Arabidopsis thaliana: one gene and its partner. The protein of the gene in region 1 interacts with the protein of each later gene in a biochemical or structural test. Each region holds a gene or a part of one and is shown on either strand. Other genes may lie near its edges.

Region 1 (9,354 bases):
CCGTTCTGCAATCAAAACTTTTGTATCAAAGTACTTTTACTTATCCATGCATACATATAGCTTCACAAATACCCGAATATTTATTGAATGAGTATGATTTAATTTTTATTTTGTATGGAATGTGAATGACCCAAAAAGTTATTTTTTTTTTTGGTAAGGAAAGAGAAATTAAAGAAGTTATAAACAATCTGGTTTTTAGAAGACGAGTAAAAATTGTTAATTTCAACTAATTATTTTTAGTACTCAAGTATATATTATATTTATTGGCAAAACATAAAAGATGTAAACATCTAGATACATTTTAATCCATTCGAAGAACTTAACAAAAAAAAATTTCATACATTATATTACATTCGGTGTGGTACAGATCGCACGGTCAATCAATCTAAAGATCACTTGCGGTGATTGAGCGACGTTGTATGATTTTATCCATACTTCATATTGTTTACTGTTATGATCCATTCTTCACAAGATTGACTAGACGCGATATATGTGCACTCTTATCATCAAGAAGTGAAATATAGCGTATGATTAGATATGTGAATTTAAAGGCTAGTCTTACAAGTTGCTAGCGAATTTGGAAAACTTGTATAGTCGTTTTTTTTTTTCGGTATGATCACCCAACTTTGACGTATCTATTTCAGACACTATAAAAGCATATGTTTCGATTACTGTTTATCCAAATGGAAATGTCTCGCCCAAAACCTCAACATGAAAGTCAGGAAAGTCCAACAACGTAGTTTTCAAGAAGTCACAATATGTCCCTCCTCTCGTGTCACACCACTCCTAGTCCTAGCGAACTAGCTGCATAGTGTAAAATACTTTATATATGAAAAACTTAGACATAAATATATATATACGTGTGCGTGTGTGATGCATGTTTATTGTTTTTTATTCAGGCCTATATGCATTCTACATGTTTTAGATCAAGATGGTGATACAGAGACACTACTAATACAAACACTTGCATAAATCCTCTATGATTATGTCATTCGTATTCATTATTTTAAAAAGAAAATTTACGTCAATACTTGAAATACATTAATTGATATATGTTTTCCTAGTTTTGGAGAAAAGGGTGGTGTTCATATGTTGCAAAACACAAACATGTAAATACAGCAAAGAAGACATAGTGGACCCATGACAAGAAATAAGGCCCAAAAGTTGGGCTAATTTCAGCCATCACGACAAAGGCTACTTCTCATTTCGACATCCATATTATTCTATTCTTGTACACTTCTCTTTCATTCACTCGTCATTAATATGCCTTCAATCTAATATATTTAAGGACACAATTATACACACGTCCATATATAAACTTATATTGTTGCCTTGTTGGATATATATAAAAGTTATTGTAATTAGTAGTTACTAGTTAGAGTAATTTTCAGGTCTAATAGTGATGAGATTAACGTATTTTCTTCTTTAAATTTCAGTTATTTGCAAATAATGTCACTGCTCGATTTCCTGGAATAAAGGAGCTAATAAGAGTATCATGTTCTCCTTCATGTTACCATTTCACGTTTGCACGTTTTTTTTTTTTTTATTATGAACAAGATTACGATCACACGTTCGGTTTGTTGTTTAGTCGTTCCAAGTGTATAGGAGTTTTATCCACACAAAAAAAATTTTGATAGGAATGTGTAATTCCATAAAGATTTCCATCGTTACACACTAAAGTTTTATCTTACGCGCCACGCCGTTTGTGGAGTAACCGAGTAACTAATTTACTACTAGTCTTGATGTTGGTAGGATTAAATAAAAGAATCATGGAGATAGGATACGATTGTGTTTGAATAATTCAATATGTTTATATCTGGAAAGATCTACAAATTTGATATGATCACTAAGATTGTGGGAATTTATTCAAATCCAAAACACATAGTTACAAATCATATACAAATATGGAAAATAAATAATGTCTAATAACATTTGTGTAACATCATCTTTAATGCGAGTCATTTAGAAATGTAACTTTTTTTCTTTCTGATATGTTTATTTCTGGAAATATATACAAAATTGACCTGATCACTAAGATTGTGGGAATAATTCCAAACCAATATAGAAAGTGATAATTTATTAAAAACTGAACATTTGTGTAATCTTTTTTTTTTTTTTTTTAATGTAATGTCAAATTATATTCAAAAAAAACATATACTTTTTTACAACTTGTGCTTCATGTGTAAGAAAGGGAGAGTGCTAAAAAAAATTCTGAAATTGTCCAAAAATGATTAGATCTTTCGTAGAGTCGATGTTGACTACCCCGGGAATGAACCCATTTGTGTAATCTTTTAACATTTATTAAAAACAAATCATAGATAGCTAAGATTGTGGGAAGAATTCCAAACGAAATTAAATTCACACTAACACATTTACTAAAATCATAGATAGATATAGAAAGAAAAAACTTTTCTACTAATTTTTTTGACATTTGTGTACTCATTATAGCGAGAGAAAGAGATGGGCCTCAAAACTTTTATTAGGCCCAAACGTTTTAAATTCATTATAAAAATAAAACAATTCCACGAAAATTTCGAAACCCATCACTTTGGCGCTTATGTGACGCGCTTATTTCGCCCTCAATCTCAGATTATTTAGTCCTCACACTCGTCACACCCCCGCTTCCTAGGGTTTCATTTCGTCTCTTTATCTTCCTTCGTCTCTTTAGCTTCCTTCGATTCTCTGACTCAATCATGGCGCCGAAGCGAAAGAGACCTGCGACAAAGGATGACACTACCAAATCCATTCCCAAACCGAAGAAGAGAGCTCCTAAGCGAGCTAAGACGGTGAAAGAAGAGCCGGTGACAGTGGTCGAGGAAGGGGAAAAGCATGTTGCGAGGTTTCTAGACGAGCCAATTCCAGAATCTGAAGCGAAGAGTACCTGGCCTGACAGATACAAACCGATTGAGGTAATTTCATACATCGGAAACTGGAATTTTGGGTGTTTGTGTATGAAATAGTTAGATCTAGTTGAAATTTGCTGAGATTTGTTGCAGATCTGTTGATTTCTGAAGGATTTTTTGTTTGTTTTGTTTCAGGTACAGCCACCTAAGGCTTCGTCAAGAAAGAAGACGAAGTAAGTTCCTTGAATCCTTTGGTTCTTGTGTATAGTCAGATTGAGAGGCTTTACTTTTGTTTGATTAGAAATGTTTTTTGTTTCGTAAATAGTTGATTAAGTGAATTCGTTTTGTAGGGATGACGAAAAAGTTGAGATCATTCGTGCTCGATGCCATTATAGACGTGCGATTGTTGATGAGCGTCAGATATATGAGCTGAATGATGATGCTTATGTACAGGTATGACTCTATTACGTCTAAATTGCATTTGTTACATTTTAAAGCGTAGATTTATGTGGTACATTGAAGAAAATGAGTTAGAGAGGAGAATGTGCATGACATTGTGTTTCTTGGTGTTTGAGTTTGATGACTATTGAGGTTTTACCACTTTTTTAATGTGCCAACATGGTTTTACTGTGTAGAAAATTTTGATGTGTAGGGTAAATAATTAACCAAAGTTGATCACATTCTCCTCCCTCACCACTATCAACTGTCCGCAATAAATATTTGTGCATTGTCTCTGTTTGTCATGCTTTGTATATCTCCAAGTCCTTATGATAGTAGTTACCTTTCGAAGCTGAGTTCTCATCTGTAACAATAACTAGCTGATTGTTATTTAGACTGGCATTGCATATTATGCATTGGCTATATGAACGTTTATCATGTTGTTTTATGTTTTTCGTACAGCGTAGGTAGATGCTTTACCATATATAACTTCTGTTTTTAACAACTGAGTTTTGTAATTTTTGTGCAGTCTGGTGAGGGAAAGGATCCCTTCATTTGTAAAATCATTGAAATGTTTGAAGGGGCTAATGGGAAACTGTATTTCACGGCTCGGTGGTTTTATAGACCTTCTGATACTGTAAGAATAAAAAAAATCTTCTTCTTCACTTTCTCTTTAATCTATGTTGAATTGTCTGAAGTTTTTTTTCTATTCTTAACTTTCAGGTAATGAAAGAGTTCGAGATTCTGATCAAGAAAAAGCGTGTGTTTTTCTCTGAGATACAAGATACAAATGAATTGGGATTACTTGAAAAGAAGCTGAACATTTTGATGATTCCCTTGAATGTATGTTCTTACTTCACTGTTACTTGTAGTGTATGCTTTTGGTATACAGTATCTTAGTACAATCTTCCATTGATACTGAACTTATTTTTGTTTCTCATGCCAGGAAAATACTAAAGAGACTATCCCTGCAACAGAAAACTGTGACTTTTTCTGTGACATGAACTATTTCTTGCCTTACGATACATTTGAAGCTATACAACAAGGTTAGTGCTTTTAACAATTGATCTTCAAGTTTAGAAACTGCCAACTGGATTAGATAAAATGCTGCAGTTTTTGAAGATAACTAAGCATTTACAGATCTTTCAATTGTGCAGAAACCATGATGGCTATAAGTGAAAGTTCAACAATATCCAGTGATACTGATATAAGAGAAGGAGCTGCTGCCATATCAGAGATTGGAGAATGTTCTCAAGAAACAGAAGGTCACAAAAAGGCAACTTTGCTTGACCTTTACTCCGGCTGTGGAGCTATGTCGACAGGGTTGTGCATGGGTGCACAACTGTCTGGTTTGAACCTCGTCACTGTGAGTCATTTTTGCTTGCTAATAATCTTCTCAGATTTGTTTAATCTCTCAATGCTTAACTTTTGCTTTTTTTTTAAAATGATTCTCAAGAAATGGGCTGTTGACATGAATGCACATGCATGTAAAAGCTTGCAGCATAACCACCCAGAGACAAACGTAAGTTTTTAGTTTTCCTTTCTCCCAATTCGATTGACTACAGAAATTCTCAAGAGCCTAAATCATTTCATTTTAGGTGAGAAACATGACCGCAGAAGATTTCTTGTTTCTGCTTAAGGAGTGGGAGAAGCTATGCATTCATTTCTCTTTGAGAAATAGTCCAAATTCAGAAGAATATGCCAACCTTCACGGTTTGAATAATGTTGAGGACAATGAAGATGTCAGCGAGGAGAGTGAAAATGAAGATGATGGAGAAGTTTTTACTGTTGACAAGATTGTTGGTATTTCCTTCGGAGTCCCTAAAAAGTTATTGAAACGTGGACTTTATTTGAAGGTATTGTTGCTCTGCTTGTACAAATTTCACATTACATCTCATGGTTTAGCCTTGTTATATAGTTAATCATCTCTGGTGTTTTGATATAATAGGTAAGGTGGCTGAATTATGATGATTCTCATGATACATGGGAGCCTATTGAAGGACTCAGGTGAGCAAAACATTAAGAATGTTTGCATTAAAGTTATATATGTTAATGCGTTGTTAAAATCTCTAAATTTGTCCTTGAACAGTAATTGCCGGGGTAAAATTGAAGAGTTCGTTAAACTTGGATATAAATCTGGCATCCTTCCGTTACCAGTATGTATTTTTTATACCTGATTCTTTTGCTTTCCTTAAACTTCTGAAGCTAGTGCATAATTTTCAGATATTTAATCTAAAAGCCAATAATCTAAGTTATTGTATGTGATAAGTTCTATGGGTCTTATGTTGTTCTGCGTCAGTTAATTGTTGAGGGGTGATAGATTTAGTCACAGAACAGTTGATGTTTAGAGCAATATCCTGACATTGTTTATATGTTGTTGATGTTTAGGGAGGTGTTGATGTTGTCTGCGGTGGGCCACCATGCCAAGGAATCAGTGGTCACAACCGCTTCAGGAACTTATTGGACCCTCTAGAAGATCAGAAAAACAAGCAGCTTTTGGTGTATATGAACATTGTAGAATATTTGAAGCCTAAGTTCGTTTTGATGGAAAACGTCGTTGACATGCTGAAGATGGCTAAGGGCTATCTTGCACGGTTTGCTGTTGGACGCCTTCTACAGATGAATTACCAAGTGAGGAATGGAATGATGGCAGCTGGAGCTTATGGGCTTGCTCAGTTTCGTTTGAGGTTCTTTCTATGGGGTGCACTCCCTAGTGAGGTAAAATTCTTAATGTTTTCTCTTTGTTTTATATTAATGAATAGATGCTGTTCTTAATTTGTATCTTTCTGTTTCAGATAATTCCGCAGTTCCCACTTCCAACACATGATCTAGTTCATAGAGGAAATATTGTCAAGGAGTTTCAGGTAAACTGGTATATTAGTACCTTTCAATTTGTTTTAGCAAATTCTCATATTTATTTGTAACTAATGCAGGGAAACATAGTAGCCTATGATGAAGGACATACTGTGAAGTTAGCAGACAAGCTTTTGTTGAAGGATGTGATTTCTGATCTTCCTGCAGTAAGTATTGATGTTTTTAGCAAATTTTGACTAAAATTAGGTACAGTTTGTCTTGAATATTTTCTTACTTCCTATGTTTTTGTATTAGGTTGCCAACAGTGAAAAAAGAGACGAGATTACATATGACAAAGATCCCACAACGCCATTTCAAAAGTTCATCAGATTGAGAAAGGATGGTAAGATTCTTATTATTTTTTTGGGCAAACAGTGTAAAAACATATATTTGACAACTATTATGGCAACTGATGTTCATTAACAAATTGTTTCTGAATTTTTTCAACAGAAGCGTCAGGTTCACAATCAAAGTCCAAGTCCAAAAAGCATGTCTTATATGATCATCACCCTCTTAATCTTAATATAAATGACTATGAACGGGTTTGTCAGGTCCCCAAGAGAAAGGTACAACTTTCTTTATACTCGATTGACGATCATATATTTTTTTGGCTCTGGTCTGTTTTAGTGTCTAGGAATATTCTGATTATTTCAAAACATCTTTTGGTATCAGGGAGCGAATTTTAGGGACTTTCCTGGTGTTATTGTTGGACCTGGTAATGTAGTCAAGTTGGAAGAGGGAAAGGAAAGGGTCAAACTTGAATCTGGAAAAACATTGGTAAGAATGATCATCTCTTTTTTTTGGTCTCATATCAAGTTACTTTTCTCCTGATTGGCTGGCTATGTTATTCAAACAGGTTCCCGATTATGCCTTAACATATGTCGATGGGAAATCATGCAAGTGAGTTTTAATTCTCTTTTCTTCGTCTCTGAAAATTCTGTATTTGACTATTGTTTTCTGTTATGGAAATTGACTTAAGCCCTTCGCTGTTTCCAGACCTTTTGGTCGTCTTTGGTGGGACGAAATTGTCCCCACTGTTGTCACACGGGCAGAACCCCACAACCAGGTGAGACCTCTCATGACAATCAAGTATTTGTTCTGAATTTTGGCTAGTTGTTATTCTAGTGTTCTAGGTTTGCATAGATTTATTAGTATGCATGTTACACTGGAACCAACTTAAAGAGTATAATTGTTTGATGTTGCTGGTGATTGATTGCAGGTGATCATTCATCCAGAGCAAAATCGGGTTTTATCCATTCGAGAAAATGCGAGACTCCAAGGCTTTCCTGATGACTACAAACTCTTTGGCCCACCCAAACAGAAGTGAGTATTGTTAAGACCTTGAGTTTATGTGTGTTCTTGGTGGATTTATTGCTGCTATAGTTCTTAAGACTAATCTTACATAATTTCTGTTTTTCAGGTACATTCAAGTAGGTAACGCTGTAGCTGTGCCAGTAGCGAAGGCCCTTGGATATGCTTTGGGAACAGCTTTCCAGGGACTCGCAGTTGGGAAAGATCCACTTCTTACTCTGCCTGAAGGTTTTGCATTCATGAAGCCAACTCTTCCTTCCGAGCTTGCATGAACACTGTTGATTCATCGCATTTTTCGATTTATCTTCTATTCATTGTTTTCCTAGGATTTATCTTTAGACCATTTGCTGCGGAATTTGGATTTGTTTTGTTTAAGTTTCACGACTTTCAAGTTTAGCAACTCTGAATTTCTGGTAACTTTGTTTTAATCAGATGTTATGGATTTGTGGGATTCTCGTTCTTTTTGTCTAAGAAGAGAACTCATCTTCGGTTCGGTTTTATTACTGTTTCTTGATTAAAGGCAATGTTGGATTCGTTCGGCTACAAAAACTTTGTGCCTTTTAAGATATGGTCCATTTAATAATAGGCCGAACTGCAAATGTGATCTGTTTTGGTAAACATTTTGTGCCTCTTATGAATGAATTCAAGTTAGGCCTATTATTAACTGTACCCTATCTTTTTCAATTCAGTAACTTTCAATTCTACATAAAACACACTATACATTCTTAAGCGGGAAAAAAGTTTTTGGCCTAACGTACTTGAATTCATTAACTTACAATTCTACATAAAACGCTATACATTCCTTTTTCGATGTGGTAAATTGTTATTAAGAATGAATAAAACCATACAAAAATAAGCATCAAAGTAATAAGTTAGCAGAATTGTTAAAGACTTGAAGTAAAACAAATACTTTTACTAGAATAGAGAACAAACCAATGTTTATGGATCATAGAAAAGACTATAATATAACACTCACTAGTTAATCAAATTGCATAGAATACAAGAATGGTCCACTACTCGAACATCGTCGTTATTGTCGGGCATGGTCTATTAATAATACAAATGCATCATCGATTAAGTTGATTAGTTATATTACTTTACTTTCCGAGAACTTCCTAGTTAAATCCAACACGCTATAATATTGATAGTGTGAAGATTGTAATAAAACGGATACCTAGTTCCTATCAATATGTTAATGTCCATTAATATATTATCTTCACCTAATTATAGATCTTATGGCCTAATCACTAGTTTTAAATACTAGTCTGAATTTTAGGCTAAAGAAAGTGAAAATATCACGTTATATGTTGAGTTTATGTAACTAATAAAAATAGATTGAATGACTCGGACAGACGTGGACGTCCCTTTTGTATCTTTCTCGGATATAATCAAATTAGTGGTTGTATGCAATAGTTTCTTCCAATAAATTGACCGATCTCCTTTTATATGGATCTGAACTAATTATCTATCTTTAATTCAATGAGTTGATGATGTTTAACAAGTTTAAATCTGAATCTATACATATATGACAACAAAAACTTCATGATAATCTATTCAACTTCCCATCATGTCTTCATATTCACAAAAAGTATACTCACTATTTCAAAATATAAGATGTTTTAAAGCCATTTTATTTTGTTTCATTTATAAGATGTTTTGCTAGTTTCTATACAATTTTAAATGTATTTGATAACTTGTTACAATTTATATTCTCCTGTTTTTTCCATGATTGGTTAAATAAAAATAATATTTTTGAAAGAATTAATAAGAAATTATCCAATATGTGTGTTTATACCTTAAAAAAATAAACTTAAAATATATGGAGTAATAATTATATAAAAACAAATAGATTCATTCATCGTTCTTTAAATTAATATTTACTTGTTCTATTTGGCATTTTGGTAACCAA
Region 2 (7,793 bases), on another chromosome or scaffold:
CCACATAGAAAGCAGCAAACTAAATGACAATTATGATTTAAGAGCAAAGATAGTGACAGTGTAAATTAAGTCCACTCTTCTTTGACCTTAAGGTAATAATATATATATGGATGAGGTGATACTAATAGAGTGATTACACATACAAGTGGTCTTGCTTCTTCTATGGTTTTAAAACTGCAAATAAAGATTTGCTTCGCAGGAGAGATAGCGCCATCACCTCTTCTAAGAAGTTAACTAGTGGTGACGGTATCTCTCCTACGTAGCAATCCTTATATATGCATCTTAATACGGAGAGATCAAGGTATTTCAGTTGTTCAATAATCACCCTCTAACAAAGATGCATCTTAATATTCATAAACTATTCTCTTTCTACTTACATAGTAACACCATAAAAACAATGAAACTGCTCCGTAGAGGACCTTGGTTTGAGCCTCTAGATCGTCTTCTCTTACCTAAAATGATAATCTGTTCCAAGATAGGTTCTTGCTATTTGCTCAAATATGTTTTGGTCTTTTGAATGTTAGCTCAGCAAGGAGCTCACATGATTAGCAGCACATCCTCAGCCTGAAAGTTTCAAGAAAAGCTTTATCAATTTAAGAGTTGTGTACGTTTGCAGAATTCTCACAAGTTTGGTTTGATTCTCACCCACAAGAAAAAAATGTCTTTTCTTTTACTTTCGATATGTTTCTTTGCCTTTGACAAGGGACATATAAAAATGTTAAGACGAAAAGGTTGACAAATCTTTGAAAACTATCCACATCATGAACTCAAGATATCTCATTCCATTAGAAGCAAAAAAAATATCAAGTCAATGAGACCAGCTCACGACTACTCTAGAATCTTCATTAAGCAGAACAAGGAAAATCTATAGGTCTAATTAAACCTTTTTTTAATATCTCGGGTTAACACCAAATTTGGTTCAAACTCGACAAGTCATTGTTCAAAACACAGCATCCAAAAAGATAAAAAGCCAAATCTTATCACCAGAAGTCCACCACTAATTGGTATATAATGTTTTTTTTTGTATGTAGAAATAGTGTTGAAGAAAGAGCTTCATGCTATTTGATATCTATAATATCTCATTTCTTGTAACAAATGAACTCCACACGGAATGAAGCTTTTTACATATAGAAAGAACATATAAATGTGTCCAATATCTAATTTGGTCCACGTATCAATTTGCAAGATCACATGCTTACGAGACCTCAAATATTTGGTGGATATATAAGATAATTTCCCACATGTTTTACGAACCATCCCGTAATGAGTATGAATTATCCGGTCTAGCAATCCATTCGATAGATTTACTAGTTGAAACTTGAAAGTAGGGTTTTGCTCACTTGTATCCTTTATTCGTAGTTTAACTATAATGCACATATGGAAGAATTGAGCCACAATTCTCAATGAATTTAGCGAGGGTGAGAAATGTCAATTCAATGTACATTCTATGTCAATTCAATGAAAACAAATGAAGAAAAGAGACATGAAATATGTTTCCAAATTCTTACTTAGAAGAATTAGAATCAAATAATACAATATCTACATATGCCATGAGAGACATATGGAAAACCATGTTTTCGGATGATAAACTTCCAAATTGATTTGATATATACTATAAACCGGCAAATAAACAAATTGAGGTTAAAATATAACAAACCGGTCCGGTCTGATCGAACGGCTGATGTCATAAAACGTGGGGAATATTCGATTAAAATAACAAAGACTCCGTTACGGTCGTAAATAAGTGGTGTGAGAACCGAAAGTCAAAAACACGTCAATATTGGTGGGGGGGACGACCGTGCACGTGACCACACAGGAACTAAACCCGGACGTATTGCGCGAAAATTAAACCGGATTTGATAATCGGCGACTCGTCCGGCAACCCTTGTTTTGTTTTCGTCTCGGCGGATCGATTTTTCTTCGTCTGGGTTTGGTTGTCTTTTTATTTTCCTCTTCCTTGGCCAAAGAAAATCTTATCGTAGCTGTGAAAACCCTAGTTTCTAATCATCTCAATTCTCTCATTAACCTATCAATTTCGATAGGGTTTGATCAAGTATCCGATTTCATGGTTTGTATTTTCCGTTTAATAGTCTTTAAAGGTCTTGTCTTTTGGAATTTCAAGGGTTTTCGTTTCAGTAACTCCTTCTTTTTTTTCTGTTAATTTAGATCGGTTGCTGTATGGAGACTAATTGCTGGAGTTTAGGTTCGTGTGTTTTGAACTGAGCTTTTGGTTCTTGTTTGTGTCTGGTGTTGAAGACATGGATTTGGAAGCTAATTGTAAGGTATTATTGTCTGAAAGATCTATGGATGCTTGTTGGTTTATAATTTTTGTTGATTTGAACTTGTTATGAATGTGTTGATTGGTATATAGAGTGGATGTTTCAAAAAAGCTTTGCTTTTCCGTTTTGTTTATGATCTAGATTGTATTGCTGGGAGTAAAAAACGATCCTTTATCTCATAAGGGTTTTGGATTATGGTTCGTGGTTGCTGTTATTGAATTTAGTCTTGCTCTAGTTAAGCTTAACGTTGTGTTTTTGTTGTGGGTTGCAGGAAAAACTTTCATATTTTCGGATAAAAGAGCTCAAGGATGTGCTCACTCAGCTGGGACTTTCGAAACAGGGAAAGAAGCAGGTTAGTATCGTTCTCTAATCTTCCATTGGTCGTGATTATGTTTGTGATTGTTTTGGAATGATTATAGTAGAGAAGATGATGTTTTGGGTGATAATTATTGCTGTCTTGAGCTATATAGCAGTTTCCAAGATAAATCTAAGACATTACCTTGCAAAGAGTGTTATCTGTTTTATTCTTTCACCAAAAAATTTAACTTCTTTTTGAAATTTTCTTGTGCAGGAACTTGTCGACCGGATCTTGACCCTTCTTTCTGATGAACAAGGTTATATGAACCACTTGCTTTTGTTTATTCACGTTTTGGTGTATTAAGAGTCACTGCTAGCTCTGCCATCTTCTTCTAATAAGCTTCCGTTTTCATTCCCTACTGACAGCTGCCAGGTTGTTGTCTAAAAAGAATACAGTGGCAAAGGAAGCAGTTGCCAAATTAGTGGACGATACATATAGGTGAGTGCTCGTTTCTTTCAATAGATTTCTTAGGAGATGCCATGCTTTTTGTGGCGGTTCTTTGTTACCATTAATTTTATATTGTGTTCCATAGGAAAATGCAAGTATCTGGGGCAAGTGATTTAGCATCAAAAGGACAAGTGAGTTCAGATACCAGTAATCTGAAAGTTAAGGGAGAGCCTGAAGACCCCTTCCAACCAGAAATTAAAGTTCGATGTGTTTGTGGAAACTCGCTAGAAACAGACTCAATGATACAGGTAATCTGGGATGAACTCACTGCGTTTATTCCTGTTTGAGCTGACTGTAGACAATTTCTTTGTATTTTATGGTCGATGGTGTGATGTATTTATCATTGATTACATTTGTGAAGTTTGGTGATACTTTCTGGCTGTAATTTTTGTTTTTTTTCTTCCGATTTCAGTGTGAGGATCCAAGATGCCATGTTTGGCAGCATGTTGGCTGTGTTATTCTCCCAGATAAGCCTATGGATGGGAATCCACCACTTCCGGAATCATTTTATTGTGAAATCTGCCGACTTACTCGAGCTGACCCGTATGTGTTTCAAGGATTTTACTTTTCCTGTCTGAGTTTAAGTTTGATATGTGATTGATTTTCCATCTGAGTTCCTCCCTCACTGCTTTATGATTCTTTCCTGCCATAACTGAAAAGAAAGACATATTTATACATTTGACATGCTTTGCATTCTAGTTTCTTTGCGTTTGATTGTTCTTCTTCTTCTAGTACTGTTTTCATAGTTGTCAATTTTCTTTTATATATTATTTCCTATCTTTACATTAGCACCTGTGGATATCCTATAGCATGATTATTCACGGTTTTCCTACATGGTTTCCTTGTTCAGATTTTGGGTTACAGTGGCACATCCACTCTCTCCAGTGAGGCTGACTGCAACGACTATCCCAAATGATGGGTAAGAATTTTATATTCTTGATATTGCTATTGCTTTGAACGAGTGTACTTTCAGTGCCATTATTGTGTGAATTGGTACTTTATAAGTCACTTTGACTTTAAATTTTCTACTTGGAACTGGTATAAGACATTCATTCTAGTTTCAAGAATGACAATTGTTTCCTGGCTATATGCATAGCACCTGCTGAAGAAATACTGTTACTGGCTTTTGTTTGTACTAATACTCCGATCCAAAACTTTTCAGTGCAAGCACAATGCAGAGTGTGGAGAGAACATTTCAAATCACAAGGGCAGACAAGGACCTTTTGGCCAAACCAGAGTACGATGTTCAGGTTGGGTTTTGTAAACTACATTTAATATGTCAAGGTGTATCTACCTATACGTTTCTAACTGGAAATCAATTTTGTTTAGGCTTGGTGTATGCTCTTGAATGATAAAGTTCTCTTTAGGATGCAGTGGCCTCAGTATGCTGATCTGCAGGTCAATGGTATGACAATGACATCGACCAGAGTTTTAGTCGGTTGAGCATTTCCTTTGAAACAGGGGAATGTTGTTTTATTTCATGTTGCATAAATTCCTGTGGGCACATTCCATTCACATTCACATTGTCTTTATTTGTCTGTTATTCTGATCATACTCAATAAGACTGTGTATGTTTCTGATGTGGGATTCATGATATATACCCTATCATTTCATAGGTGTGCCTGTACGTGCAATTAATCGACCTGGAGGACAGCTTTTGGGAGTCAACGGCCGCGACGATGGACCCATTGTGTGTTTTTTATCATCCCTTTTGAGTAGTAACCCTTTTGAATTACATATAGGAGTCAATCTCTCATACATTGAAAATCTAGCAATCAGTGATGTAAGTTTTAACCATTTCATTTTACTATTTTGGCAGATTACATCTTGTATTAGGGATGGAGTTAACAGAATATCCTTGAGTGGAGGTGACGTTCGGATTTTTTGTTTTGGGGTCAGACTTGTGAAGCGCAGGACTCTACAACAGGTACTGATAACATATATGCATAAGAAACATTCAAAGATTTGGTCGTATATGTGGTCAATGAAGAGTCCAAACATAAATGTTCAAAAAGGAACGAAATTAATATTCTGAATACAAAAAGAAAGAATAAATTATGTTGGCGTACCCAAGAAAGTAATTTTGTGGAAGTTACCTGTGGTTACACACTTACGTTAAACTATTCCCATGTTATTTCCCACTCCCACTAAATCTAGAAAAGTTAGTCAGATTTCAAATTTCACAGTCCTATTCTTCTTCCTATATTTCACGTATATGAGCCACTGAGCCTGGCCTTGTATGAGATTTGGTTACGGAAGTGTAGTCTGTCCTTGTGCTGCAACATTTATCCCTTTAATCAATATATTTATCACTTTTGTTGGTGTTCTTGTATACAGAGGAATTCATATTGTACGTTAATGATCTAATGATCTCCAAGTTGCTTATATATATACTCATTTTTGCATCTAGGTTCTAAATTTGATTCCAGAAGAGGGTAAAGGGGAGACTTTTGAAGATGCTCTTGCACGTGTCCGCCGATGCATTGGAGGTGGAGGTGGAGATGATAATGCCGACAGTGATAGTGACATTGAAGTTGTTGCTGATTTCTTCGGTGTCAATCTTCGGTGTCCTGTAAGTTACTAATAGCTCGTAGCCCAGTTTTTATACTTATCCTCTTCCTAGGGCTATCTTGCAGACTGAATTTTTTTTATTGTCTTTTCTGTTTGCGTCATTAGATGAGCGGTTCTAGGATAAAAGTTGCTGGGAGATTTTTACCCTGTGTGCACATGGGCTGTTTTGACCTTGATGTGTTTGTGGAGTTGAATCAACGTTCCAGAAAGGTAGGTCTACTATCCTTGTCTAGATATTGGGTTATGTCTCTTGTTTTCTGACTTTAGTTGTTCTGGGGTTTGTTAACATGCAGTGGCAGTGCCCTATTTGTCTGAAGAACTACTCAGTGGAGCATGTAATCGTCGATCCTTATTTTAACCGTATCACGTCTAAGGTATGTATTCTTATGGGAATTCAAGAATTCTTAAAATCTTTGTATCTACGCTTTTATTCAGTAGTTGTCTTCCTGCACGACAGATGAAGCATTGTGATGAAGAGGTGACTGAAATTGAAGTGAAACCTGATGGTTCTTGGCGTGTAAAGTTCAAAAGAGAGAGTGAGCGAAGGGAACTGGGGGAACTCTCACAGTGGCATGCACCTGATGGTAGCCTTTGCCCCTCTGCTGTTGATATTAAACGGAAGATGGAAATGTTACCGGTTAAGCAAGAAGGTTACTCAGATGGTCCAGCCCCGCTAAAACTTGGAATAAGGAAGAATCGTAATGGCATTTGGGAAGTTAGCAAACCTAATACAAATGGATTATCTTCCAGTAATAGGCAAGAAAAGGTTGGGTATCAGGAGAAGAATATTATACCAATGAGTAGTAGTGCTACTGGAAGTGGTAGGGATGGTGATGATGCAAGCGTAAACCAGGATGCTATTGGAACTTTTGACTTTGTAGCCAACGGCATGGAACTTGATTCCATTTCCATGAATGTTGATTCAGGTTATAACTTTCCTGACAGAAACCAATCTGGCGAGGGTGGAAATAATGAAGTCATCGTTCTGAGTGATTCTGATGACGAGAATGATTTAGTGATCACTCCAGGGCCTGCATACAGTGGTTGTCAAACAGATGGTGGACTTACTTTTCCACTGAACCCTCCTGGAATAATTAACTCATATAATGAGGACCCACACAGCATAGCTGGGGGAAGTTCAGGCTTAGGTCTTTTCAATGATGATGATGAATTTGATACGCCCCTTTGGTCATTTCCTTCTGAAACTCCAGAAGCCCCTGGGTTCCAACTATTTAGATCTGATGCTGACGTTTCAGGAGGTTTAGTTGGTTTGCATCATCATAGTCCACTAAACTGTTCTCCTGAAATAAATGGAGGTTATACCATGGCTCCTGAGACATCAATGGCATCTGTTCCTGTGGTTCCTGGCTCTACTGGCCGATCTGAAGCAAACGATGGCCTAGTTGACAATCCTCTTGCATTTGGTAGAGACGATCCCTCACTTCAAATATTTTTGCCAACAAAACCAGATGCTTCAGCTCAGTCGGGTTTTAAAAACCAAGCTGATATGTCAAATGGTCTCCGTAGTGAAGACTGGATCTCGCTTAGGCTAGGCGATAGCGCCTCTGGGAATCATGGAGATCCTGCAACTACAAACGGGATTAACTCAAGCCATCAGATGTCTACGAGGGAAGGTTCTATGGATACTACAACAGAGACTGGTTTGTTCCCTGTCTGAGACTAATGCTTTCCTGAAAACATCAAAGGGACCTAAAAATGTGGACCATGTTCTTGATGTTGCATTACCTTTTTCATCACTTTACTAAGCTGCTAGCTAGGTCTTATAAACAACTGAAGAAGAAATATCTGTTTTAGTTTCTATGTGGCGTATTTTGTCTTTGAATATGCTACTTTATATATGTCCATAGTCCATGTGGTATACTTACTGACTATTACTGCGTATTTGCAGCGTCGTTGCTTCTGGGTATGAATGACAGTAGACAAGACAAGGCAAAGAAGCAAAGATCAGATAATCCATTTTCATTTCCTCGCCAGAAGCGTTCTGTAAGACCTCGGATGTACCTCTCCATTGACTCGGATTCTGAGTAATATTCTTCCTGATTTGTCTGTTCTGTTGTGTCTCTCTTGGGATGATTCGGTGTTCCTTTTGATTCTTAACGCTATGCACAGAACAATGA

What was found.
Region 2: the proteins of CMT3 (region 1) and SIZ1 form a complex in vitro, tested with the Arabidopsis thaliana proteins (one study listed by BioGRID).

Annotation. Positions count from the first base shown.
Region 1 is NC_003070.9:26,246,859-26,256,212, reverse strand, and holds CMT3 (chromomethylase 3), read left to right. Parts: upstream 1-2,525; 5' UTR 2,526-2,693; coding exon 2,694-2,909; intron 2,910-3,038; coding exon 3,039-3,076; intron 3,077-3,193; coding exon 3,194-3,296; intron 3,297-3,810; coding exon 3,811-3,918; intron 3,919-4,004; coding exon 4,005-4,124; intron 4,125-4,227; coding exon 4,228-4,327; intron 4,328-4,438; coding exon 4,439-4,647; intron 4,648-4,737; coding exon 4,738-4,803; intron 4,804-4,879; coding exon 4,880-5,137; intron 5,138-5,229; coding exon 5,230-5,288; intron 5,289-5,370; coding exon 5,371-5,437; intron 5,438-5,669; coding exon 5,670-5,999; intron 6,000-6,076; coding exon 6,077-6,145; intron 6,146-6,214; coding exon 6,215-6,301; intron 6,302-6,389; coding exon 6,390-6,477; intron 6,478-6,584; coding exon 6,585-6,700; intron 6,701-6,806; coding exon 6,807-6,911; intron 6,912-6,990; coding exon 6,991-7,034; intron 7,035-7,130; coding exon 7,131-7,200; intron 7,201-7,353; and 5 more. UniProt on the Arabidopsis thaliana protein: Involved in the CpXpG methylation (e.g. CHG cytosine) and in gene silencing. Methylates preferentially transposon-related sequences. Functionally redundant to DRM1/DRM2 to maintain non-CpG methylation. Involved in RNA-directed DNA methylation.
Region 2 is NC_003076.8:24,292,968-24,300,760, forward strand, and holds the start of SIZ1 (DNA-binding protein with MIZ/SP-RING zinc finger, PHD-finger and SAP domain-containing protein), read left to right. Parts: upstream 1-1,793; 5' UTR 1,794-2,068; intron 2,069-2,166; 5' UTR 2,167-2,258; coding exon 2,259-2,282; intron 2,283-2,550; coding exon 2,551-2,631; intron 2,632-2,850; coding exon 2,851-2,893; intron 2,894-3,002; coding exon 3,003-3,075; intron 3,076-3,169; coding exon 3,170-3,332; intron 3,333-3,496; coding exon 3,497-3,627; intron 3,628-3,934; coding exon 3,935-4,003; intron 4,004-4,246; coding exon 4,247-4,334; intron 4,335-4,413; coding exon 4,414-4,489; intron 4,490-4,700; coding exon 4,701-4,774; intron 4,775-4,903; coding exon 4,904-5,011; intron 5,012-5,494; coding exon 5,495-5,656; intron 5,657-5,760; coding exon 5,761-5,865; intron 5,866-5,948; coding exon 5,949-6,029; intron 6,030-6,112; coding exon 6,113-7,316; coding exon of another isoform or gene 7,317-7,333; exon of another isoform or gene 7,334-7,564; coding exon 7,565-7,700; coding exon of another isoform or gene 7,701-7,704; exon of another isoform or gene 7,705-7,785; coding exon 7,786-7,793. UniProt on the Arabidopsis thaliana protein: E3 SUMO protein ligase involved in regulation processes. Mediates SUMO/ attachment to PHR1, a MYB transcriptional activator controlling the phosphate deficiency responses.